Canis lupus familiaris: one gene and its partners. The protein of the gene in region 1 purifies or fractionates together with the protein of each later gene. This does not show direct contact. Links are inferred from orthologs where the notes say so. Each region holds a gene or a part of one and is shown on either strand. Other genes may lie near its edges.

What was found.
Region 2: the proteins of INAVA (region 1) and CEP170 purify together in Homo sapiens (co-immunoprecipitation; 3 studies listed by BioGRID and IntAct, counting the BioPlex papers as one, with this or other methods). This does not show direct contact. The link is inferred for Canis lupus familiaris from reciprocal best matches to the Homo sapiens genes INAVA and CEP170.
Region 3: the proteins of INAVA (region 1) and CYTH3 purify together in Homo sapiens (co-immunoprecipitation; 3 studies listed by BioGRID and IntAct, counting the BioPlex papers as one, with this or other methods). This does not show direct contact. The link is inferred for Canis lupus familiaris from reciprocal best matches to the Homo sapiens genes INAVA and CYTH3.
Region 4: the proteins of INAVA (region 1) and CYTH2 purify together in Homo sapiens (co-immunoprecipitation; 3 studies listed by BioGRID and IntAct, counting the BioPlex papers as one, with this or other methods). This does not show direct contact. The link is inferred for Canis lupus familiaris from reciprocal best matches to the Homo sapiens genes INAVA and CYTH2.
Region 5: the proteins of INAVA (region 1) and CYTH1 purify together in Homo sapiens (co-immunoprecipitation; 3 studies listed by BioGRID and IntAct, counting the BioPlex papers as one, with this or other methods). This does not show direct contact. The link is inferred for Canis lupus familiaris from reciprocal best matches to the Homo sapiens genes INAVA and CYTH1.
Region 6: the proteins of INAVA (region 1) and SGF29 purify together in Homo sapiens (co-immunoprecipitation; 3 studies listed by BioGRID and IntAct, counting the BioPlex papers as one, with this or other methods). This does not show direct contact. The link is inferred for Canis lupus familiaris from reciprocal best matches to the Homo sapiens genes INAVA and SGF29.

The regions. Positions count from the first base shown.
Region 1 is NC_049228.1:2,036,754-2,040,253, forward strand, and holds part of INAVA (innate immunity activator protein), read right to left. Parts: intron 2,686-3,500; coding exon 2,561-2,685; intron 2,444-2,560; coding exon 2,327-2,443; intron 2,167-2,326; coding exon 1,947-2,166; intron 1-1,946. UniProt on the Homo sapiens protein: Expressed in peripheral macrophages and intestinal myeloid-derived cells, is required for optimal PRR (pattern recognition receptor)-induced signaling, cytokine secretion, and bacterial clearance.
Region 2 is NC_049228.1:34,209,951-34,212,539, reverse strand, and holds the end of CEP170 (centrosomal protein of 170 kDa), read left to right. Parts: intron 1-231; coding exon 232-518; coding exon of another isoform or gene 519-591; 3' UTR 592-831; coding exon of another isoform or gene 832-842; 3' UTR 843-2,089; downstream 2,090-2,589.
Region 3 is NC_049227.1:11,644,696-11,648,195, forward strand, and holds part of CYTH3 (cytohesin-3), read right to left. Parts: intron 3,428-3,500; coding exon 3,347-3,427; intron 2,246-3,346; coding exon 2,133-2,245; intron 2,028-2,132; coding exon 1,879-2,027; intron 1,687-1,878; coding exon 1,575-1,686; coding exon of another isoform or gene 1,574-1,574; intron 1-1,573. UniProt on the Homo sapiens protein: Promotes guanine-nucleotide exchange on ARF1 and ARF6. Promotes the activation of ARF factors through replacement of GDP with GTP. Plays a role in the epithelial polarization.
Region 4 is NC_049222.1:108,474,275-108,478,421, forward strand, and holds the start of CYTH2 (cytohesin-2), read right to left. Parts: upstream 2,801-4,147; 5' UTR 2,592-2,800; coding exon of another isoform or gene 2,576-2,591; coding exon 2,573-2,575; intron 2,131-2,572; coding exon 2,037-2,130; intron 1,739-2,036; coding exon 1,591-1,738; intron 1,502-1,590; coding exon 1,435-1,501; intron 432-1,434; coding exon 313-431; intron 1-312. UniProt on the Homo sapiens protein: Acts as a guanine-nucleotide exchange factor (GEF). Promotes guanine-nucleotide exchange on ARF1, ARF3 and ARF6. Activates ARF factors through replacement of GDP with GTP.
Region 5 is NC_049230.1:3,507,908-3,511,905, reverse strand, and holds the start of CYTH1 (cytohesin-1), read right to left. Parts: upstream 2,801-3,998; 5' UTR 2,669-2,800; coding exon 2,542-2,668; intron 1-2,541. UniProt on the Homo sapiens protein: Promotes guanine-nucleotide exchange on ARF1, ARF5 and ARF6. Promotes the activation of ARF factors through replacement of GDP with GTP.
Region 6 is NC_049227.1:18,372,763-18,376,801, reverse strand, and holds the start of SGF29 (SAGA-associated factor 29), read left to right. Parts: upstream 1-1,239; 5' UTR 1,240-1,426; exon of another isoform or gene 1,427-1,491; intron 1,492-1,656; exon of another isoform or gene 1,657-1,710; intron 1,711-1,716; exon of another isoform or gene 1,717-1,851; intron 1,852-4,039. UniProt on the Homo sapiens protein: Chromatin reader component of some histone acetyltransferase (HAT) SAGA-type complexes like the TFTC-HAT, ATAC or STAGA complexes.

The DNA of each region.
Region 1 (3,500 bases):
AATAAGTAAATCTCTTAAAAGAAAAAAAGAAGACATTCTAGTAGACAGCATTGCTCAGGGCAGGTGTTGTCAGTCAACAAACGCATCCTGAGCACCTAGGACAATCAGGTGTGTGTTGAGGGGAATTTCTCCTTAAGTTCACTGTGATAAATTAGTTTAGCACCTGCCTGCTCCTGCCACCTGCAGGGTACTAATTACTCCCACCTTGCATAATTAGTAATTATTCTAAATCGAATAAGCCTTGTGTGGAGACCAAGGGGGCAGGGTGGCTTTTTCTCTTTTCTTTTTCTTTTTATTCTTTCTTTCTTGTTTGCTTTTTTTCTTTTTAATTCAAAACACCTTTCAGCTACTAATTATTAATCCCTTCCTACTTCCTCCTTCCAGGGGAAGCTCGCTGGGCAGGGATGCCACAGGGATGGAACCACTTGCTAGAGCCGCCGCCTGCTAGGCTCCCAAGGAGGGACATCAGAGCCCCAGACCTCAGGCCCCACGGTCAAGGCAGGGTTTGAAGGTGGGGAGCGCAGGGTCTTTCGCTCTGGTCTGGAGGGCGAAAGGCCACGCTACACCATGTTTCTTCTCTACAGCTCTGTGTTCACCTGAGCTGAGCACCCCGAGAAGGTTTCAGAACCTCCTGCCTCCCCCCAGAGGGTTAACCAAAGCCCCAGGCGTGTGCTGACCTGCTCTCAGCCCCCGCAAGAAGCGTCATTGGTGGCAGTGGCAGCCGCAGAGGAACACCCCCCACCGCCCCCCACCCCACCACCTGCAGGCCTGAGCATTTCCAGCTGGAGGGGAATGCAGAAGGGGCTGAGACAAATAGAGACGGGCCCTCTCCCTCCCCTGCCAGCCCCCCCCCCCCAGCAGAGCAAGTGAGCCCTCAGGGACTGTCTGTGCCCAGGTCCATAGCTTCCTTTCAAGGGGGCGGGGAGGGGGCGTAGGGGTCAAGTCCTGGGACCCAGTCAGAGTAGAGGGAGGACGGAGAACTTTCCCATCTGGGTCTTGGAGCCCGGAAGTGCTGTCTTGCAGCCGGCCGAGCCAGAGCCAGAGCCAGAGCCAGAGCCAGTCGACCCAGAGAAGTGTTGCCATCAGAGCCTGGGTCGGGCGGGGGCACCTTCCCCTGTTTATTGGATCAGCTGTCACGGGGAGGCACCTCCTCCCTGGCCCTCTGCCTCTGCTGGAGGTGACCTGGCAGGCGGTCTGGTCACACCCTTCCCCTCTACATTAGAGACAACCTGTGGCGGCGGGGACTCCTGAGACCTGTGCTGAACGCGTCCCCTTGTCCAAGGCACGGGGGACCCTACATTCGAGCATCCCCAACCAAGGGAGGAGAGCAGCCTCAGGGAAAAGGCAGCGTAAGGTGCAGGGGTAGGAACCTGGGGTGGGGGGAAGGAAACCATCCCCCGAGCCCACCCGAGCCTGGGCATCCTGCCCTGTCCCAGGCCACCGCTCCCCACCCCGGGAGGTCGGGCCCCACGGGAGGCGTGGGTCGGGGCCAGCCATGGGCACGATGCCCTGGGAACCGGAAGGGAGGCTGCCAGGCCACCTAAGCAGCTGGGCTTGGGTCTGAGAACAGCGTGAGCGCACCCAAGGGCTCAGAACCGCTTGCTGGAGGGTGACCGGGCTGCGAGGGTGTCCGGCAGCGGCGGGTCCTGGGCAGGGAGCACTCCCCGCACGCTGCGGCCCCAGGTCCCCGGGCCACGGGGGGAGGCTGGGGTCACGGTAGGGCAGGGGGTGCCGGTCTGCAGCTAAGCGTCCCCCAGTAGGCCTGGGCGCCGAGGCGGCGGGCAGCGCCTCCCCCCGACCCCGCGCCGGAGGGGCCCGGCTTCTGCAGCTGAGGCCCAAGCTGAGGCCCGGGGCACCTGCGGGAGCGCGGCGCGGCGCCTCAGGGGCGGCCCTTCCCGGGTTCGAGGAGGACGCGGGAGCCACGGGAGGGGGCGGCGGCGGCTCACCTCGGCCCAGGGCCCGCGCGGCGGGGGCCGCCCCGGCCGAGCGCCTCCGCTCCCGCAGGCAGCGCTGCAGCGCCCTCAGCTTCTCCTCCTCGCGCTGCACCGCGTGCTTCCGCTGCCGCCGCGCCTGCCTGCTCAGGTGGTCCTCGCCGCACAGCCGCCGCGCCGCCGCCGCGATCTGCCGCTGCACCGCCAGCTCGCGCTCCAGGCCGCCCAGCGGGTCCTGCGGGGCGCGGGGTCAGGCGCCGGAGCACCCGCCCCGCCCCGCCCCGCCCCGCCCCGCCCTCCTGGGGGTGCCCGGGGGGGGGGGGCCGGCCTCGGGGCGGAGCGGCCGGGCCTCAGGAGCCGCCCCGCAGGCCGCGCCGCGCCTCTGCCCGCCTCACCTCTCCGCGCAGGGCCCGCTCGTCCAGCCTGTAGGCCGCCCCGACCCTGCGCCGCACCCTGGGCGCCTTCTCCCCGGGCCTGAGGGGGTACTCCGCGGGCAGCAGCCCCGTCAGCTCCTGCGGGGAGGCCGCGTCAGCCCGCCGGCTCGCCGCCCGCACCCCTGCCCGCCCACCGCCGGCCCAGCCCCCCAGGGAGCGGGCTCCCCCCAGCCCAGCGCCCCCCCCAGCCCTCACCGCCTCCCTGAGGCACAGCCTCCTCAGCTCCTCCAGCCGCGCCTCCAGCCGCGCCTCCAGGGCCCTCTGCTGCTCGCGGCCCGCGGGCGCCAGCTCCTTCAGCGGGGACACCGGGCTGTCGGGGCCTGGGGGCGGCAGGGGGCGGCAGGGGGGCGGCTCGCGGGCGCTCCGGCTCCGGGCGCGACGCCCCCACACGCCCCCTTGCGGTCCCGGGCGCCGCGGCAGCTGCACACTCGCCCGGGCACAGCCTCGCGCCGCCCGCCGGGCCAGGGGAGGGCAGCCCCGCCGCCAGCACCACGCCGGCCCTCCTCCCCCTCCTCCCCCTCCTCCTCCTCGCCCCCCTCCTCCCCCTCCTCCTCTTCCTCCTCCTCCCTGTTCCCCTCATCTTCCACCTCCCCCTCCTCCTCCCCCTCCTCATCCCCCTCCTCCCCTTCCTCCTTCCCTCCTCCCCCTCCTCATCCCCCTCCTCTCCTCCTCTCCCTCCTCTACCTCTCCCTCCTCCTCATCCCCCTCCTCCTCTCCCTCCTCTACCTCTCCCTCCTCCTCATCCCCCTCCTCCTCTCCCTCCTCTACCTCTCCCTCCTCCTCATCCCCCTCCTCCTCTCCCTCCTCTACCTCTCCCCTCCTCCTCTCCTGCCTCCCTCTCCTCCCTTCCTCTTCTGCCTCCCCCATCTCCTCCCGTCATCCCCGTCCTCCTCCTCATCCCCCTCCTCCACTTCTCTGCCACTCTCTCTTTCTCTCTCACCCACATTCGTGCTGCTTCTTTCCTCTCTTCTGTCAGGACTAGGCCCACAGACTCAGGCCACTGAGAGGCCCTTTCTAGTAGCCAGATAAGATTTTTCTACTTCTTAGTAATCACTAGGGCCAAAAGTGCGGAGACCTGTTCCAGATAGGATCAGACCTCCAGGCCGGGCCATCTAGGAAAAACTGCAGCCCCTCC
Region 2 (2,589 bases), about 32 Mb from region 1:
GCATAGAGCCTGCTTCTCCCTCTGCTTGTGCCTCTGCCTCTCTCTCTCTCTCTGTCTCTGTGTGTCATGAATAAATAAATAAAATCTTTAAAAAAAAAGGGATTAGCCAAATTTAAGCTCATACAAGCATCAGTAGTTGAAATATTATCCAAGACATAAGCAGTGTTTACATCCAAATTTAACTGCATCTACAATTATCTTTTTTCCCCCATATTCTTGTTTTCCCTTCAGCAATCAATGCGATGATTGACCCAGATGGAACTCTGGAGGCTTTGAACAACATGGGATTCCCCAGTGCTATCTTGCCATCTCCACCAAAACAGAAGTCTCCCGTGAATAACCACAGCAGCCCGGGTCAGACACCGACACTTTGCCCGCCAGAAGCTAGGGTTCCCCATCCTGCTGCTATCTCAGTGTCAGCTGAATTTGAGAATGCCGAGTCTGAGGCTGATTTCAGTATCCATTTCAATAGGTTCAACCCTGATGGGGAAGAGGAAGACGTTACAGTACATGAGTGACTTTCTCTCGATGTTTAAAAACCAGTACCTGTGGATGACTAGGAATACTGGAAGCAGCATAGTGTTGACTTAACAAAACAAGACCGCTTGATCAGCTACAATCTTGTTCTCTCTGTCTTCTTAATTTTATTTATTTATTTTTTACCTATAATGTGGTATCCTATTAATCCTTCAGACCATTAGAAAACTACGTGATGCACATATAGGAAAAAGCAGATTGTGGCAGTTTCGCCTTTTGTGGTTTTATGATTTTCAAATTGAATTCTCTCATTGCATCCTTTCCCTTCATAGATCTTTGTTTTTTTTCTTTAAGCCATGCTGTGACCTACAAGCAAATTAAATACCCAACATTTCTGACCCCCATGTCTTCTGTGCCAAGCTGCTCCCGAAATGGACTTCCTCTTCATCTGTACAGATTTGTTAAACGCTTATATTTACTTCTTAATAATAGGATTTATATTAGTATTCATTACCATTGGATACAATGACATATTACTCTCCACAGTCCTGACCTTTCAAAACAGTCGTTCTTGTGTTCTGAAATTTTCCAGCATATATGTGATTTATATAACTTTGTTGCTACGTAAATTGTCTTGGGGTTTACGGAGATGAACTATTATGTTTGCACTAAGATTTGCCGGGAGTGGTAGGTGGACATAGCTGTATATCAATAAGGAAGGACTAACCGTCTTTTTTGTATATAGGATATTGATAATACTGTATTTGTTTTAACCCCTCGGTGTTTTACTCCACTTTCAAAATGCTCAATTTGGCACTTTTTTCAAAAATTTTTTTTAACGGAAGTAAGATTTTTGTCTCATTTTAGAGCAGATGATAAGTAGACAGATTAGACTGTTTAGGTGGAGTATATTTTTTAAACTGAGAACATGTATATTGGTCCTGTGTTACCAAGTTTATATGTGACAGTTGAAAAAAAATCCCCTTGAGATGATCATGAGGTTAAGATTTGCTTCTTTAGGAGACTTGGAGAACCAGTAGTCATAAGATTAGTGGATAGTTTCACTCCCAAGCAATGAACTGCTTCTGTGTGTTCCCCAGTAGGACCCAGTAGTAAATCCTGTCCGTCTTACACATTTAGAAGGACCCTGCAAGACCGTAATGATGAAGGCTCAGGCCTATGCCACTAAACAGGAAGCCTGTGGAAAAGTACCTTCTGTAAACTTGTGTTTTCTCCTTCCAGTAAGTTCACATTTGGATAAGTTTTAAAAGAAAGTAATTATCTTTGTGTTTCCAGAACACTATAATTTGGGCGAATCTTAATTCCTTTAAATATTACTTAGTAGACTTGGATTTCCCCCTTGACCCTATCAGTCTATAAAGATTAATACTGCAGTTTTTGCAACTTTTACGAATGGTCTTTAGTATTTCAGCAATAATCCTTTACTACATTGGTTGCAAGAGACTAACTCTGGACGTATCAAAACTTTACAAGATTTAAAAACTCCTGTAATGTTGGGCCAGTTAATAGAGATGCAAAAAAAAAAAAGAAAAGAAAAAAAAGAAAACCCACAAAAAAACCCTTTTTATAGAGATGTAAAAAACAAAAGACTGTTGTATAATGAATCTCATATTTTTCTTTAAATTAAAAAAAAGGTAAATGAACTATTCTCCTTGTAAAGCTAACTTCTCCATTCTATTTAATAAAGGAAGACTGAAAAAAAGTTTTAAAGAACATGAATGGAATGATACAAAAATGCTTTGAAGGAGGAAGTGAAACATTAAAACAGGGTCAGTCCATTTGAAGAAAAAGTCAAACAAAATAATCACCATTGCTCTCTCTTTTATTTAATGTTTGGGTACTGATTATATCCCCATGGAAGTAGAAGGTAAGGAGTTGTTTAGGAAAATATTAGCATCTACTCTACTTACATTATCCTTTAAGTGTTTACACCGTTTTGTTCAATTATAAACATTTGGCCTTTTACTATGTTATTTTTATTTTGTATGAATACATTTCCTCCTTATTTATTTTTGTTACATTTATTACTTATGTTATTTTGTTATGCATTTACAACTCCATTTTTAAATAAAGTGTTTCTGGAACTTTATA
Region 3 (3,500 bases), on another chromosome or scaffold:
CACCTACCCAGCACCCAAGCCAGCTCTGTGGCCCCTAAGGGTGCTCTGGGCACTGCTTACATGTACAACCAGAACACAGGTTGGAAAATAAGGCCTGCTGTGCCTTTACCTCCCTCATTTTGTTCTGTCTTTAGAAGCAGGAGCATCTCCCACTGGTGCTGAGGCTACACCAACTGCCAGGCAGGCTTGCACTGTCACTGTCACCGTCACACGAGGGGCATTCCCTGGCCGTGCAGGAACAGGAGGGACCCAAGTGCAGCTGCTGGTGTGTCAGACACATCCCTCCTCTGCCCTCACCCCAGGGCCACAGGTGTGACGTGACCTCAGAGATGCATCTCGAAATCCATGAAAGCATTCAAGTCCACGCTTAGGGCTCTGAGTTTGCAGACAAAGATCTAGAACTCCCCTAACTGGCAGCACAGGCAGAGAAGTCAGAGCAAGACCCCAAATCAGAATGGCTGAGCCCCAGCACACACCTTCATGCCTCTTACCCACACTTGATTAAAAACACAAAGTTGCCGGACTTCTTGATGTCTTACAGTATGTTCTCAGAGTGCCCGGATGGTACACAGTTGTCACGTCTCACAGGCTCTCATGTCACAGTAAGGCAGAAATCCCAATCTCCCCAGAGTAAAAACAAAACAAAACACCCCACCCTAACAATTCATTAAATTGCCCAGAAAATATCAATGTTTCTGTACTTCTTTGTCAATGGTTAGGAAGCCTTTTAAACATTTCCGGATTCCGTCCAAGGGTGGTGCAAACATGCGCTGTTTGGTTAGTATGAGAGGCAACCGGTGATGTACGGGAATGGAGCAGGCAACCAGCAGTCTCGTGGCTGCTCAGGCCCTAAGGACACTGAGGGGCAAGCTCGTTCCCACACGGCATTCCCATGCGCTCCCGGGCGCAGAAAGGCTGGCATTCCAGCCATGCCTCGCCCGGCCCCGGAGGTGTAGGTGTCACATTCGCTGCACCCTGCATGAAGCTAACCCCGGCAAGTCCAAAGCCACATGGGTCAGATGAATGGCAGCCACAAATCAGAGCTTCACACAGACCAACGGGGGAGAGAAACTGAGAGAGGAATGAGCAGCTGGGGAAGGGGCAGGAAGCCACTGGGTACGTACCTCCTAACGCAGAACAAGCAGGGACAGCCCGTCACAGAACAGAAAGGTGGGAGCCACAGGCAGAAGGAAAACAAGAAGGCACATTTAAACCACTCATCAAAAATCAGCCACACCAAACCAAGAGAAAGGCACGCAGGTTCTCGCAGTAAATGCACCTGCCTCTGGTACAGAAAACTGCTTGGGTCTATCTGGATGCTAAGTGAGCAGTTTTCTCGGACGCTCGTGCAGCCCGGGCGTTACTCTCCTGCCGTGGACACTGACAAGATGGCCTCGTTCGGACAGGGCAGGGCTCAAAGCAGCAGCCATCAAGTCTGGGGCGTGCGGCCGGCTACCGTGGGCGGACTCGGCCCAACAGCCCTTGCTTCTAGCGGTTCTGCCTTTGGTCGGGGGCCTTGGGGGCCGAGGGCTGGGGGCTCCGAGCGCGGGGCCCACCTGCTGGCCGCCACTCACCCAGCTTCAGGAGCCAGCCCTCACGGTCAGGGTTGAAGAACGTGTGTGTCAGGTCATTGCCATCATCCTCGGGGATCTTAAACGGCTCGTTCTTGATACTCTCGTATAAGTTCTGCGAGGAGCACGGGGACAATGGTCTCAGGGATGCAGCCGGGGGCCAGGGGTGGGGAGGGCCCAGTCAGCACTGTGTCCCCGAGGGCGCCAGGCTCAGCGGGACCAGGGCCACGAGGTGCCTGAAGGTTAAGGGGCGGCGGTGGCAGCTCCTGAGGGGCGAGGGCCAGTTCCGTGGAAGAGGGAAGCTCACCCGCAGCAGCTCCTCCGGGAGATCCCCTCCCTCATTGATGCCACGGTTCATGGTGACGAAGCGCTCAGCCGTGGGCTTGTCCCGCACATTGTGGTTGTGGAGGCTGGTGTTGAGCATGATGATGGCAAACGACAGCACATAGCAGGTGTCTGAAAGAGGACAGAGGGAGCCGGGGCGCTCAGCCGCCTGCCCGGCCAGAGGCACCCCCTCCACCCGGCAGAGGCGCACAGTGCTGGGGCCCAACCCTCACCGACCTGTGGACTGGAAAACGCCCGGGTTGCACAGGCAATAGCGGGACGCAAACGCCTCCATCATGCGGTCGATCTTCTGAGCCTCCCCCGGAAGTCGAAAGCTCCACAAGAACTGCCTGCGAAGACACCAACACCAGGGGATGATGGTGTCTCTCCCTCTAGAGGACCCCCAACCAGGGAATGCTCCAGGCAGCCCCTGGATGGCAGAGGGAGGCACTGGGGGCAGAGCCCCAGGACCCGCAGGAGCAACGTGGCGGCCGCCACTTGCTGCCCTCAACTGTCCACCCAGGGACAGCCGGCACCACCCGCAGGAGCACGTCGGGGACCCCTGGCTCCATCCAGAGACTGACCAGCTAAAAGAAAGGGAACCCTGGCTGCCATGACCACACCCCAGACTCGCCAGGCCTGTGTCTCTGTGTTGCAGAGTTGTCAGCACCTCCTTCAGCCCAGGCCAGCTGAGGCACCGAAGAGGACAAATGGCAGACAGCAAAGCCACCCCCAGCTCTGTGCAACTTGCGGAAGCCGTATGGGGACAAGGGCCAAGAGCAGGACAGAAACATGGTCAGTCACACACTTTGCAGCCACAGAGCAGGAAGTAGTCGCAATGGAGACTGCATGGCCCTGGCTTGGGGGACAGCCATCGGAGCCTCAGCTGGGACACCAGGAAGGAAACCGGATCCTCTTGGTGGTGCAGGAAGAGCAGAGTGTACAGGACGATGCCTCGAGTGGACATCCAGAGGGATGACCTGGCACCTCTACCATGGTGGCCGGCAAAACCTCAGGGCCACACAAGGGCCATCCTCTTGCATTCACCCCTATGACATGTAATGATGGCTGGCTTTGCCTGGACAAGGCAGGGACTAGAGGGCAGCCTCTGACAGCAGGCCGTCCACACGCTCCCCACCCACGCTGGGGCGTCCACGAGGCAGGCATCTGAGATCAGATGCCCCAGGAAGCAGACCCATGCCTAGGCCGCCCCAAGACTCTGCTGCAGCAGTGGGAAGAAAGTATGCACTGACTACTGAGTACCAACTGAGATGAGGGAGAAGCAAAGGAGTGGGGAACGGCACGCACACCCAGCGGTCCCACCAAGGCGAGCACAAGCTCGGTCCGTGAACGCCTACCCAGACCCTTGGGCAACACCCTCTCCTCTGGGGGTGAGCCCCGGCCTCCTGCTCCAGCACCTCCCCGCTAACAGCCGAGACTCTGACACTTACCTTAAGGCTTGGACAAGGTTCAGATCAGCAAACTCATGGAGTTCGACAAACGCCTGGAGAACTTTAATATTAAAGTCGTCCCTGGGAAAGAAAGCAAACACAGTCCAAGTCCACTGCACAGAATTTCTCAATCATCTCAAAAGAAAGATATTTC
Region 4 (4,147 bases), on another chromosome or scaffold:
AATCCAGCCAGAGGGCAGGTCTATTAGGGCCTCTCTCAGGAGAGAAAGCTGGTGGCCTAAGGGCAGGAGTTGGGCAGGGACGCCTGGCTGGCTCAGTGGGTGCTTCCTACCTTTGGCTCAGGGCGTGATCCCAGATTTCTGGGATCAAGTCCCACATCGGGCTCCTTGCATGGAACCTGCTTTTCCTCCCTCTACCTGTGTCTCAGCCTCTCTTTCTGTGGCTCTCGTGAATAAATAAAATCTTAAAAAAAAAAAAAAAAAAAAAAAAGGAGCTGGGCACAGGGGATGACAGGGAGCTGGGCAGGGTCTCACCTCTCCCCCAGGTAGTCCCCGATGGCGGTCTTGTTCAGGCCCTCACCCTTGTACAGAAAGCGGGCGATTTCTTCGGGTGTGTTCTGCAGAAGCTCATTCTCCACCAAGAACTGGATCCCCTGGTGGGTGGGGACCAGGTCTCAGCCTCAACAGCCAGAAAGCCACGCCCCACCGCCTCCCCAAGGACCTCAGCATCCACCCCCAGCCTGGACAGAACTGGGTCAAGTCTTGTTTTGGGGCTTCACAGCGGTCCCTAAATACCATCCCTTCCGCCTCAGAGCCTTCACACCTACTGTTCCCTCTGCCTTTGCCTGGTTAGTCCAGCAGCAAGGGCAGAGTCCCACAAGGAATAGGAGCCCAGTGAGTTTGCTGAATGTGTGACAAACTACAACTGCTTTGGGCTTCAAGAATACCGTGAGACACTGTTAGTAGGCAGCAGCATGTCACGGGCTGTGAGGGCCAAGCCTCAGGATGGATGGGGCCTTCTTGGCTCACCCTGGGCCAGGAGAGCTACACCTAACTCTGGAGTGTGGCAGCCATGTCTAAGGGCTCATCAAAGGCAAGGTAGGGCCAGCTCTTGTCCTGGGTCTCCAGCCCTGCCTAGTACACGGGCAAGCTCGAGGGAGGCCACAGAGAATGTGTGAAATGAATGACCTAGTAAACAAACATCTCTCTGCACCAGGTGGACACTGACTCGTCCTTCAAACCGGACCTGAACATCCTCTCCTCGAGAAAGCCCTAACTTTACGAAGCTCCCCCATGAAGGTCCACAGCCCTGGGATCTCTGTGAAGTGGCACTGGTCAACCCTCCTTTGGGCATGTCATGGTCCATGTTCCCTACCACACTCGAGCTACTCCTGAGACTCTAGGTGGCACCACAAGAGGGTCCAGAAATATGAACAGAAAGGGGAAGGGAGCCTCCCAGGCAGAGGACACAGGACACACAAAGGTCAGGAGGCGGGGACACCTCCGTTAGTGTTCAGAAAACAAATGGACTGCCAATATCTGAATCCCGGAATTAGAGCCACATGTGTCCACCTCAAGTAGATCTAGAACCTGAAAGTGCCAGAAGCCCCTGTCTGGATGTCTGCCTGGCCGATCCCAGCCCTGTGACCCAAGCACCTTCTTGGGATCCATGTTGAACTTCTTCCTGCCCATTGCCATCTTCCGGTTCCGTTGCAAGGTCTTACTGCAGGAGAGAGCAAGGGATGGAGGCTCAATGCCTGGACGTCCCTGGCCTGGCCCCATGATCCCCAAGTTCCCCACCCCAGCCCTCACCTGCCCTCATTGGCCTCCAGACCCTCCACCTCGCTCATGGCTTCACTGAGCTCCTCCCGAAGGCGCTGGATCTCCACCAGCAGCTCCTGTTTCCGCCGCCGGATGTTCTCCAGCTCCATCCGCTCCTCCGGAGTCAGGTCTGGGGGCTCTGTGGGTCAGGGTCAGGGGTTGGAGGTCAGTTCTGGGGGCTGGGAACCTGGATTCCTGCAATCTGGGGGAGGACCGAGCTGGGGTGGGCAGGACTAGGTTGCAAGGGAGGATGAGGATGAGGATTGGGCCTCCTCTGTCTCCTGGAAGAAGGGGCTGGGAGTCTAGATTTCTCAGCCCAGACAAGGAAGGGCTGCGGATCTAGACTCTTAAGTCCTGGGGCAGGAGGAGGCTAGGGGTCAGGACTCCTGAGTCTGAGGCAGAAGGGGGCTGGGAGGCCGAACTTCCGGGTCCATTACTTGGAAGGGGAGTGAGGCCTTGGTTCTCTGCCTCCATTCCTGGCGAGGCAACTGGGAGCTTGGGTGTCCGGACTCCTGGGTCCATGAAAAGTAACTACGGCAGGGAAAGCTGGTGACAGCTCCTGAGAGTTGGGGAAGGGGGGCGGGGCATCGAAGGCCCCCGCCCCGCCTTCGCGGGATCCCCGCAGCCCCCAAGATTTCTCCCCAGCCAAGCGCCCCAGAAGCCCCCCTCCCGGCTCCCAGCAGGCACTGGGCTCGCCCGGCCCTTCCAGCGGGAATGGTTCCGCCCCGGCCGCGCCTCCGCCGCTCCATCCCGCCCCTCCCGCCGCCACCGGAAACAGGCTCGGCCCACACAATGGCCTGGAACGCCCTGCTCTCGGGCCCCGCCGGAAGCCCGTTCCGCGCCCCACAAAAGCGAGGCTTCGACGGGGCCCCAAGGCGCCGCGCGGCGCGCGCCGGGAGGGACGTTCGCGGCCGAACGTTCCAGTCCAAACGCTCCATCCGCTCCCAGCCGGCCCCGCCCCTCCCTGACCTACCATAGACACCGTCCTCCATGGCGGCTAGGAAGGCCCGCGGGGAGTCCGGGGCGGTCCCGCCGGTCGGGCCTGGATCCGCGTTGGCCCGCGGGCTCGGGTGAGCCCGCTCAAACGCCCCGGGAGCCACCGCCGCCTCCTCAGCGCCAGTCCTCAGCGCTGAAAAGACTCTCCTTTCGCCTCCCAACCGCCCCGCCGATAGGGACCGCCCCTCGTTTTGACACCGCCCAATCCATGGAGAGCCCTCTCGTCTGCCCCGCCCCCGACCCCGAAGGATCGTCCTCCAGGACCAATAGGCGCACAGGGAACAGACGTAGCACCGTCCGGGCGGAGATAGACGGGCGGTAGGGCCAATCGGAGTGCGGCCAGGGAGCCAGGCCCCGCCCCCGAAACAAAAGAAGGTTTGTGGCTGGCGTGCCCGCCAATGAGAAGACTCGGAGAGGAATTGCATGGAGGCGGGACCGTGCGCGAGCCGAGAGGACGGCGCCTGCGCAAGGGCTCTGGAAGGACGCTAGGCCAGTCGACCCCGCCTCTGGTGATAGGTTGCCGGGGAGCGGTACTTTGTTAGTCTCGTTGCCAGGGGGCGGCGCCACAACTGTCGGCTGTTTCCGGGAGCCACACCTCCGCGGCCGGCGCAGCAGGCTTTTGACCGCAGCGGTTGCCAGGCAACTGGGAGCCGCTTTGGCCCGTCGTTTGGCCTCCTTCCTCCCCTTACTGGCCTCTCTGATCTCCAGATCCTTTCTTTAACCCCTCTCAGGACTTCCCCAGCCACTTCAGCCTCTTGCGAGCCGAGGGGTGGTGAAACAAAGACTTTCTTTCTACGCTATTGGGTATCTGTCATGCAGAGTGGGACATTTGGGGAAGGCTACGCCTTCCTGACGCCTTCTGCCTCTCGAGTTCCTCCCTCTCTCCCTCATACTCCTCCCCTCACTTTAGCATCCTTCCCCTAAAACGGCTCCTCTTCCTCAACATCCTCCCACCTCTCCGGTTCCTTCCTCGCTCACAAAGTCCTTTCCGTCCTCTCTGCCTCCCCTCCCTTCAGGTTCCCCCTCTTCTTAAACTCCTCCCTCCTCTCGGAGTCTCCCCACCTATGATACCCTTCTCTCCCCTCCCCCTCCGCCCCAGCCTCTCATTTCCATTCCTTGCAGAAAAACCAAGTGCAGGCAGCTGGCCCGAATGGAGCACCCGGGCATCACTGTCATGGGTGGGTCCCTAACTGGGTCTCAGGTAGTGACTGGGCCTTGTCCTCATTTGCCATCCCTGGGCTAGGCAGGTGGGGACAGATTCAGGGCCAGGACCTGGTTAAGCTGACAGATTAGACACGGAGCCTCTTAATCTCCTCCCTGACCTTTATGAGTGGCCTGGGTCTTGTCCTCCCCTCGTGGAAAGCTAGGGTGTGCCAGCCTGGCCCCACTCTTCTTCCTTCCAAGCAGAACCCCCCTCCTGTCCCTTCACCCCTAACTTAACATCCTTCCCCATGCCGGTGTTTCCATTACCCTCACCCCTGTCCCTACCTCAGACACCTGCACTGGGAGAACAGCTAGCTAATTAATCCCATCCGGTTATTAAGTGGGGGAT
Region 5 (3,998 bases), on another chromosome or scaffold:
CGGCTGCAGGGGCTACCGGACAGGCCCTGGGACAGGGCCCGGATAACCCTCAGCCACCATGCAGGGAGAAGACCCCCTGACCTCATTCTCCTCGGACTCTCCAGCCTCCTGGACAGATCCAGTGGAGGCCAGCAGGCAGGGCAGCCTCCACAACAGCAGGACGGAGAGGGCCGACGGCACAGGCGGGGGGCTGCACGCCAAGGCACGAGCTCCAGGAGCCACTCGGCAGGGTAAGGACGTCTGCGACGGCCCCATCCGCTGCCTCGAGGTCTCAGCTCCTCATCATAGCTCCAAGACCCTCCTGGATGCGACCCCACTGCCCCCCCAGGCTTTTCTTACCCCTTGTGTCTAGTGTTTCCTCTTTAACCAAAATAACGTGCACACATCACATAAAAAAACAAACAGTACCTATGGCTTAAAACAGCAACCCACAGTTTCCTGCCCAACTGCAGCCCCCACGCTCGCATCCTGCTCCGTGGAGGTAGGCTCCTTCAGCTCTCTGTTCTGCTGATTACCTCCCTGCTTCCACACATCACAAGCACACTACCTGCTCCCGAGTCCTCAATTCTGGGCAGCAACTGCCTGCCATGGAAGAGGAAGACTCAGCTCTGACCCCCACCCTCCCCGCCCTGACACACGCTCCGTACAATTACACGTGAGGTTTGGGTTAAATCAGTGTTTATTACTTCCATAAACACTGCTCACAGCTTAGCTACACAACGTACTAGGATTGAAATTACCACGCAGTGGCGTGAAGTGTCTCCTTTGTGTCTGTGTGCTTAGCTCTCTGCCTTACAGATGGAAAGCCAAGCTCTCTCCACCAGGTATGACGCTGTCAACAGGAGCAACCCAGTTCTGGGTCAGCCCTCCAAAAACCTCCACACTCCTCCCGGCCCGGCCTTGCTGCTTTCACAGCAGCACCCTGGCAATTCCCTCTGCCTCTTCCAAACGCCGCCTCCCGTTTCTCTCATTCCGTGCTTCCTTCCTGGATCCCTTCTTTTGCTAGAGCATATCCTCTAAGAAGGACACGAGGGATGGGTTTCCATCACTGCTGTGGATTTTGCATGTCCAGAAATACCCCTGTCCTCCTCCCACACTCGACTGGCACTCTGGCTGGATTCAGGGCTGTAAGTTAAAATCGCTTCCTCACGATGGCGAAGGCATTCCCTCACTGCCTTCTGCTCCCACAGTGCTGTTAGTGACCGTGCCATTCCAACCCCAGAATTTTCTATGGGACCATCTTCCTGCTCTGAAGGCTTTCAGGGTCTTCACCCTTGGCGCTGTGTGGTTTTGTAACACAGTGTCCAGGTGTGGGTCCGTTTGCACACACTGTGCTAGCCCCTAGGCAGACCCCAACTCTCAAGTCTCATAATCTTTGATGATGTCCTACCCTTTTTTCTCAGCTCTCACCGTTTAGAGTTTCTGTTAGACGCTGGACCTCCACTGTGAATCCTACTTTTCATCTCCTTGTGGAACCACTTTCTAGGAAGTATTCTTGCAAGGCACTCAATGTTAGCGTTTACCCCCGATCTGCGTGCTGAAACCCTAACGTGATGGCATTTGGGAGGCAATCAAGCCGTGAGGAAGGAGCACACATGTGTGGGATTGGCGGCCGTCCAGGAAGAGGCCAGTGAGGCCAACTGGCTCTCCTTGTACCTCATACCTTGAGAGCACACAGCAGGACGACAGGCTCCTGGGGGCCAGGAAGGGAGCTGGGAGCAAGAAGCACCGATGCCGGCCCTGCTCAGACTCCCCGTCTCACACCCGCAGCACTCACACCCGAGAGAGCGCTGCAGACACCACCCAGTGTGTGGTGCTGTCACGGCCTGCCCTGGGGCAGCTCTCTACTTCATCTTCCAGTCTCTGGATTGTTTTCTTTTGGCTGTTTTTAACTCGCATGAGCCCACTCTTAATCTCCGAATGTTCCTTTTGGATAGCATCCTATTCTTGTTTTATTAATACATCACATCTAAGACTCCTAGGTATGTGGCTTTTAAAATGCCCTGCTACAATCTGTTTCCTCAAACATCTTTTCAAACGCCGGCACATTGGCGAGGACAGGCACACACTAGCAGATGTGAAGATGTGGGCTGTCCCTCCACATCTAAGGGCCAGCACCAGCAGCCTGGTGAGAAGGCGTGTGGTGGGTGCGGCCTGTGGAGCGTTGGGTCTCCCTTAAAGCAGGAAAGCGGTAACACGCGGACCGCGAGGGGCTCCGTGGGTTCTCTCTCCCATCAGCCTGAAGAGCCATCCTCCAACCTCCTTCCTGGGCTGTGTGGGCTACAAACCTGGGCAGAGCAGCCGGGCCGCCAGGTGGAGGGAGAAAGGGTGGGACGGCCACACCGAAGGACACACACCTTTGCTCACTCTCCCTGTGCCGCCATAGCGCTCTCCAGAAATCAAACCTTTGTGTTCCACCAAAAGTGGAGGAGACATTGCCTTGCTGCAGGATGTGGGGAGGGGACCTGAGAGCCTTCATGCCTGCCATGAACACCTTCCACCCTCATCCAATCCCTACCCTCACCCCTTGTCTCCACTCACAGAGGCCCACGGAGCCCTGCAGCCTTTCTGGGATGTGAGGGTAAGTGGTTTTGCTTCCTGATGGACCCCTCCTCTGCAGCTGAGATCTTTCCTGATGAGCTGCCAGGGCGAGAGTGGCATGGGGCATAGAACCATGCGAGTGTCCTAAGACTCCCAGAAGAGCAGCTGTGCGCTGGGCTGGAGGGTGACAAAGACGTCAATCCTCTGCAGAAGAAAATCCACAGGCACCTGGCAGTACTGCAAACTCTTTGGGAAGTTACTTCTGCTTGGGTTACCTGAAAAATACAGATTTGTACTGTTTTTCCTCACAAACAGGAATGGATCTTGCCAAAAAATAAAAAATAATATAACTGAAAAATTTTTAAAAGGCTGAGGACAAAGAAAATACATATGTGTTACAAAAAATTCAAATGAGGGGGTCACCCGGGTGGCTCAGCAGTTGAGCATCTGCCTTGGGCTCAGGTCATGATCCCGGGCTCCTGGGATCGAGTCCTGCATCAGGCTCCCTGCTTGGCGGAGAGCCTGCTTCTCCCTCTCCCTCTGCTTCTCCCCCTGCTTGTTTTCTCTCCTATCAAATTAATAAATAAAATCTTACAAAAAAAAAAAAAAGGAAGAAGAAGAAGACAAACTGTACGGAAAGTAGTTGGCATAGTAGTTTTAGACGCCTTTTAAAATAAAGTAAAAAATACATGATGCAGTCAATGCCGTCTGTGCTGCCCTCTGCTGGCTACACGAGGAGGCTGTTTAAAGGTTTACAATTGGCCATTTTTGCCAGTAAATTCAATTACGTTTTGAACATATATGGGGAGAAAAGAGGGAAATTCATGATCTACACAGAGTGGGCCATGCTCTGCTGATACCTGCCAATACTTCTTTCTTATTTTCTGAGATGGTTTTCTTAATACTAGAACTGGTTTGACCTTTGTCCCTACACCGGCGCATCGTGGGAACTGGCACGGGGAGGACGAGGACGGTTAAGGATGCAGCGGCTGGAAGGCGGCGTGGCGGGGTTAGGGCAGCACCATGCAAAGCATCAGAGCAGGGGTCCCCGCCGGCACCACCAAGGAGACAGAATGAGCCCCAGTGACAAGCCACCCGGCATGAAGACTGGAGGCAGGCCGGTCCTTCCGCAGCTCTGGGACACGGAGGGCACTGGCTGTCCCCTCTGCAGTCCTCGCCGTGAACGCCGGTGAGAGGATTCAGTGCCCACGGCCGCTGCTCCGGGAAGAGACTGAACTCGGGGCCCCGGGTGGCCCCTCCCCGGGCCTCCTCACCCCGAAACCTGAGACAGCCCACCCGCCCCCCGTTTTCTAGCGACCGGTCACACACACCCCACTCAGATGTCTTAATAAAGGTAGTGCTGAGTACGCTGCCTTCATCCAAAAGGCTGGAGTCCTCCCTGGGTGTTCAACTCAAGCTAACGCCTGCTGAACGTGCTGCGGGCTGGGGCCCGGAGG
Region 6 (4,039 bases), on another chromosome or scaffold:
GAGATGGGATAGATGGTCATGCCATTCATTGACAAAGAGACCACACAAAGAAAAACAACCTTGATGGGAAAAATAAACTGATGTGTTAGTTTGGGGCTGAAATAGTTTGTGTTGAAGTCTGAGATTCTTCTAAGTGCATACAAAAATGTTGAGGGCCCATTATCTGCTCTCATAGGTACTAGGAATGTGCTGGGTAATGAGAAAACAGGTGAACAAAACAGATGATTCGAATCTTATTGAGCTGACAAGTGAATCAAATAAACGATATAGGGCAGTCCCAGTGGCCTAGCAGTTTAGCGCCGCATTTGGCCTGGGATGTGACCCTGGAGACCCCGAATCGAGTCCCATGTCGGGCTCCCTGCATGGAGCCTGCTTCTCCCTCTGCCTGTGTCTCTGCCTCTCTGTGTGTCTGCTGTCATGAATAAATAAATAAAATCTTTTTTAAAAAATAAACGATATAAAATGTAATTTTAAACTTTGATAGGGGTTATGTAAGAAATTATAAGACATTTACTAGAATGTAAACTAATGTAGTTTAATGTTTACTCACGTCCTTAATACGGTCCTGAGAAGATTCCCTCAAAGTGCAATTTTTGGGTCTACAGATCTGTTTTTTTTTTTTTTTTAAGATTTTATTTATTTATTCATGACAGTCACACAGAGAGAGACACAGACAGAGGGAGAAGCAGGCTCCATGCAGGGAGCCCGACGTGGGACTCAATCCCGGGTCTCCAGGATCGCGCCCCGGGCCAAAGGCAGGTGCCAAACCGCTGCGCCTCCCAGGGATCCGATCTGCTTTATTTTTAAAAAACTAAACATACACCTAACTCTGAGAAATGAACAAGGGGTAGTGGAAGGGGAAGTGGGCGGGGGGTTGGGGTGATTGGGTGATGGGCACTGAGGGGGGCACTTGGCGGGATGAGCACTGGGTGTTATGCTATATGTTGGCAAATTGAACTTCAATTAAAAAAAAAACAACTAAAAAAAAAAACTAAAAAAACCATAGAGCTAAAAAATAAAATAAAAAAAACTAAAATAATAAACTACATCTTTTGGGGCAGCTTGAGGTTTAAAAATTTTTTTAAATTATCTTATAGGCTTTGGGGAATGAGAGAGGATACTAAAAACACACAAGGACTCTGGTTTCTTAAGTTCCCTTAGGGCATCGGGCATAGACTGATAAAATAAAAACTACATTTCCCAAGGAGCAGCGCGACACGTCACAAAGGAAGGACGGCGCATGCGCGGAAAGGTTCGCGCTGCGACTAGCTCGTAAAAGGGAAAAAGCGTGTGTAGTTCTCGACGTGCCGCGAATCTTCGAACGCAAGCGCGTTACGGTACTCAGACTTTGAAAAACATTCGAGGGACGCGCCCGCGGCTGCCGTCGTAATTTCCAGCTCGACGTGCCTATTCCGTGGCTTGGCAGGTGGGGATGGGTCGCAGTCTGGGGCCCCCGGGGAATGGCGGGAGCGGAGGGCCGGGGTCGCCCTCGGTACGTCCCCATTCCCGGGCCTCGCTGGGGCAACTCTCGGGGGGCGGTGCGCACGCGCCCTGGGCGGGGAGAGGCGGGGCTCGGGGAGGGGTGGGGCTGCGGCGGCGGTCTTTGGGCTCTGCGCATGCGCTGGCCGGCGCGGCGTGGAGGGGAAGCGGGCGTTCGCCGTGCGGGGCGCAGAAGCCGCAGAGGCGGCGGAGGCGGGGTCTTCAGCTCAGGTGCGAGAAGACGGCAGCGGGGTTGAGCCCCTTCTAACGAGACAACTTCATTCGCCCTCCGGAGATTTCCAGTTGCCTCCTCATCTCTCGGCGCCCGTTTGCAGCGTGAGGCTTCAGCCTTAGCTGGCGCCTCATCTCCAGGTCTCTTTCGAACCCGCTCTAGTCTAGGCCCCCAGCGCTCCACTAAAATAGCACTTGGTGGAAACCGCCAGTGACCTCTCGGTCGCCAAAGCTAGTGTTCAGTTCGTTCTCACCTCTGTAGCAATGGCTGATGCGCTTCATCACTGCCCTTTCTTGAAGCACTTCTTCGTTTGATTTGTAGGACATTCTCTTCAATTTTTTTTAAAGGTTTTATTTATTTATTCATGAGAATACACAGAGACGAGAGAGAGAGAGGCAGAGACACAGGCATAGGGAGAAGCAGGCTCCACGCAGGGAGCCCGATGTGGGACTCGATCCCCGGACTCCAGGATCACGCCCTGGGCTGAAGGCGGCGCTAAACCGCTGAGCCACCCGGGCTGCCCAATTTTTTTTTTTTTTTTTAATATTTTATGTATTCATGAGAAACACAGAGAGAGGCAGAGACCTAGGCAGAGGGAGAAGCAGGCTCCCTCCCTGCGGGAAGCCTGATGTGGGACTGGATCGCAGGACTCTGGGATCACGACCTGAGCCGAAGGCAGACACTGAGCCACCCAGGCCTCTTAAACATTCTCTTCTTTAGCTTCAGCTCTCTGGTTTCTCCTCTGCTGATTTCTTGTTCCTCGTCCCTATCTTTAATGGTTATACTCCCCCGCCCACGCCCTCATCCTAAGCTCTTCTTTGTGTCCACTTCCTAGGAGCTATCCATTTCAAAACTATTTTCTTTTTAAAAATATTTTCTTTATTTATTCTTGAGTGCTAGAGAGAGAGAGGTAGAGACAGGCAGAGTCTTGTAGGCTTCCTGCAAGGAGCCGGAGGCAGGACTCGGTTCTGGATCCCGGGATCATGCCATGAGCCGAAGACAGACGGTCAACCGCTGAGCCACCCAGGCGTCCCTATTTCAAGGCCTTAAATAGAAATACTATCTATTGTGCTCTCAAATGTCAATCTTCGACCCAGTGCTCTACCTCCAAGACCAGATTTTTATATTCAGCTTGCAAATGACATCTCAAAGTGTCGAGTCGGCATCTCAAACATGTCCAGAACTGAAATTTTGAGTTTTACCCCTCACATACCTTCACCACTTTCCCCAGTCTTCCCATTTTTCCAGTTGTTCAGGCCAACTCAGGCCAAATACTGATATATTCTTGGTGTTTTTTTGCAGCCTGGCCCTGCCCCCCCCCTTTTCCTTCTCCAGTGTATTAGTGTGTATGTGCCCTTAAGGCTTTGAAGTTTCACTACTGAGTGTTCTGTGGATATTCTCTTTGGCACTTGGTCATTTTTGCCTGAGAATTTGTGTTTTCCGTTCTTCAACATTACCTGTCATCGTTTATTCAAATTTATCCATGTATCCTGTTTTCTATGTCCTTTATAAGGTATTTACTTCACCTACAAATAAGTATATGGAACTACTTGTTTAATGTCTGTTCCTTTCTGGACTGTGAGTTTTGTAAGCAAGACAGGGACTCTTTGTCTCATTCACTGATGTATATTTCTCATTCCTAGCATAGAGTAGGTATTTGACAACTATTCATGAGTGCATTTATACAGGGAAGTATCTATAATATCAACTAATTGGGGTACCTGGGTGGCTCAGGTGGTTAAGCATCTGACTTTTGATCTCAACTCAGGTCTTAATCTTGCAGTCATAAGTTTGGGCCCTACATTGGGCATAGAGCTTACTTTTTAACCTGCCCCCCCCCAAAAAAAAAGGGGACAATTTTTTTTTTCCTGGGGTTGGAGGGAAGATAGTGAATAGCCCAACTTAAGAATTGTTGAGAGACTATTTTAAGAGATTTCCAGGATTCAGTTTGGTTCAGTAATGTATTCTGAAGACTTAGTAGGTGCTAGGCCCTGGGCTAGTTTCTGGGAATATAAAGACGAATACAACTGCATGTCAGTCTTCTAAGAGCTCGTGGTCTGCAGGAGAGATAAGTAAGTGAAACAGTCTCTCAATGTATGTGTGACAATGCAAGAACAGAAGTTTGTATACCATGCTTTGAAAGTTTTGACTGCCCTTGGCATCAGGGCAGATGAGTGGGGCCTGGGGCAGCCAGATCCCCCTGCCATTCTTTTCCAGCTGTGAGCAGCTTTGCCTTTTACCTGAGTGTGCCACACAAATGTTACCAGAAATATTTTGTACTGTGTGTGCTGTGGTGTGAGAAGGTTGGCAAGTACAACTCTTGAAGTG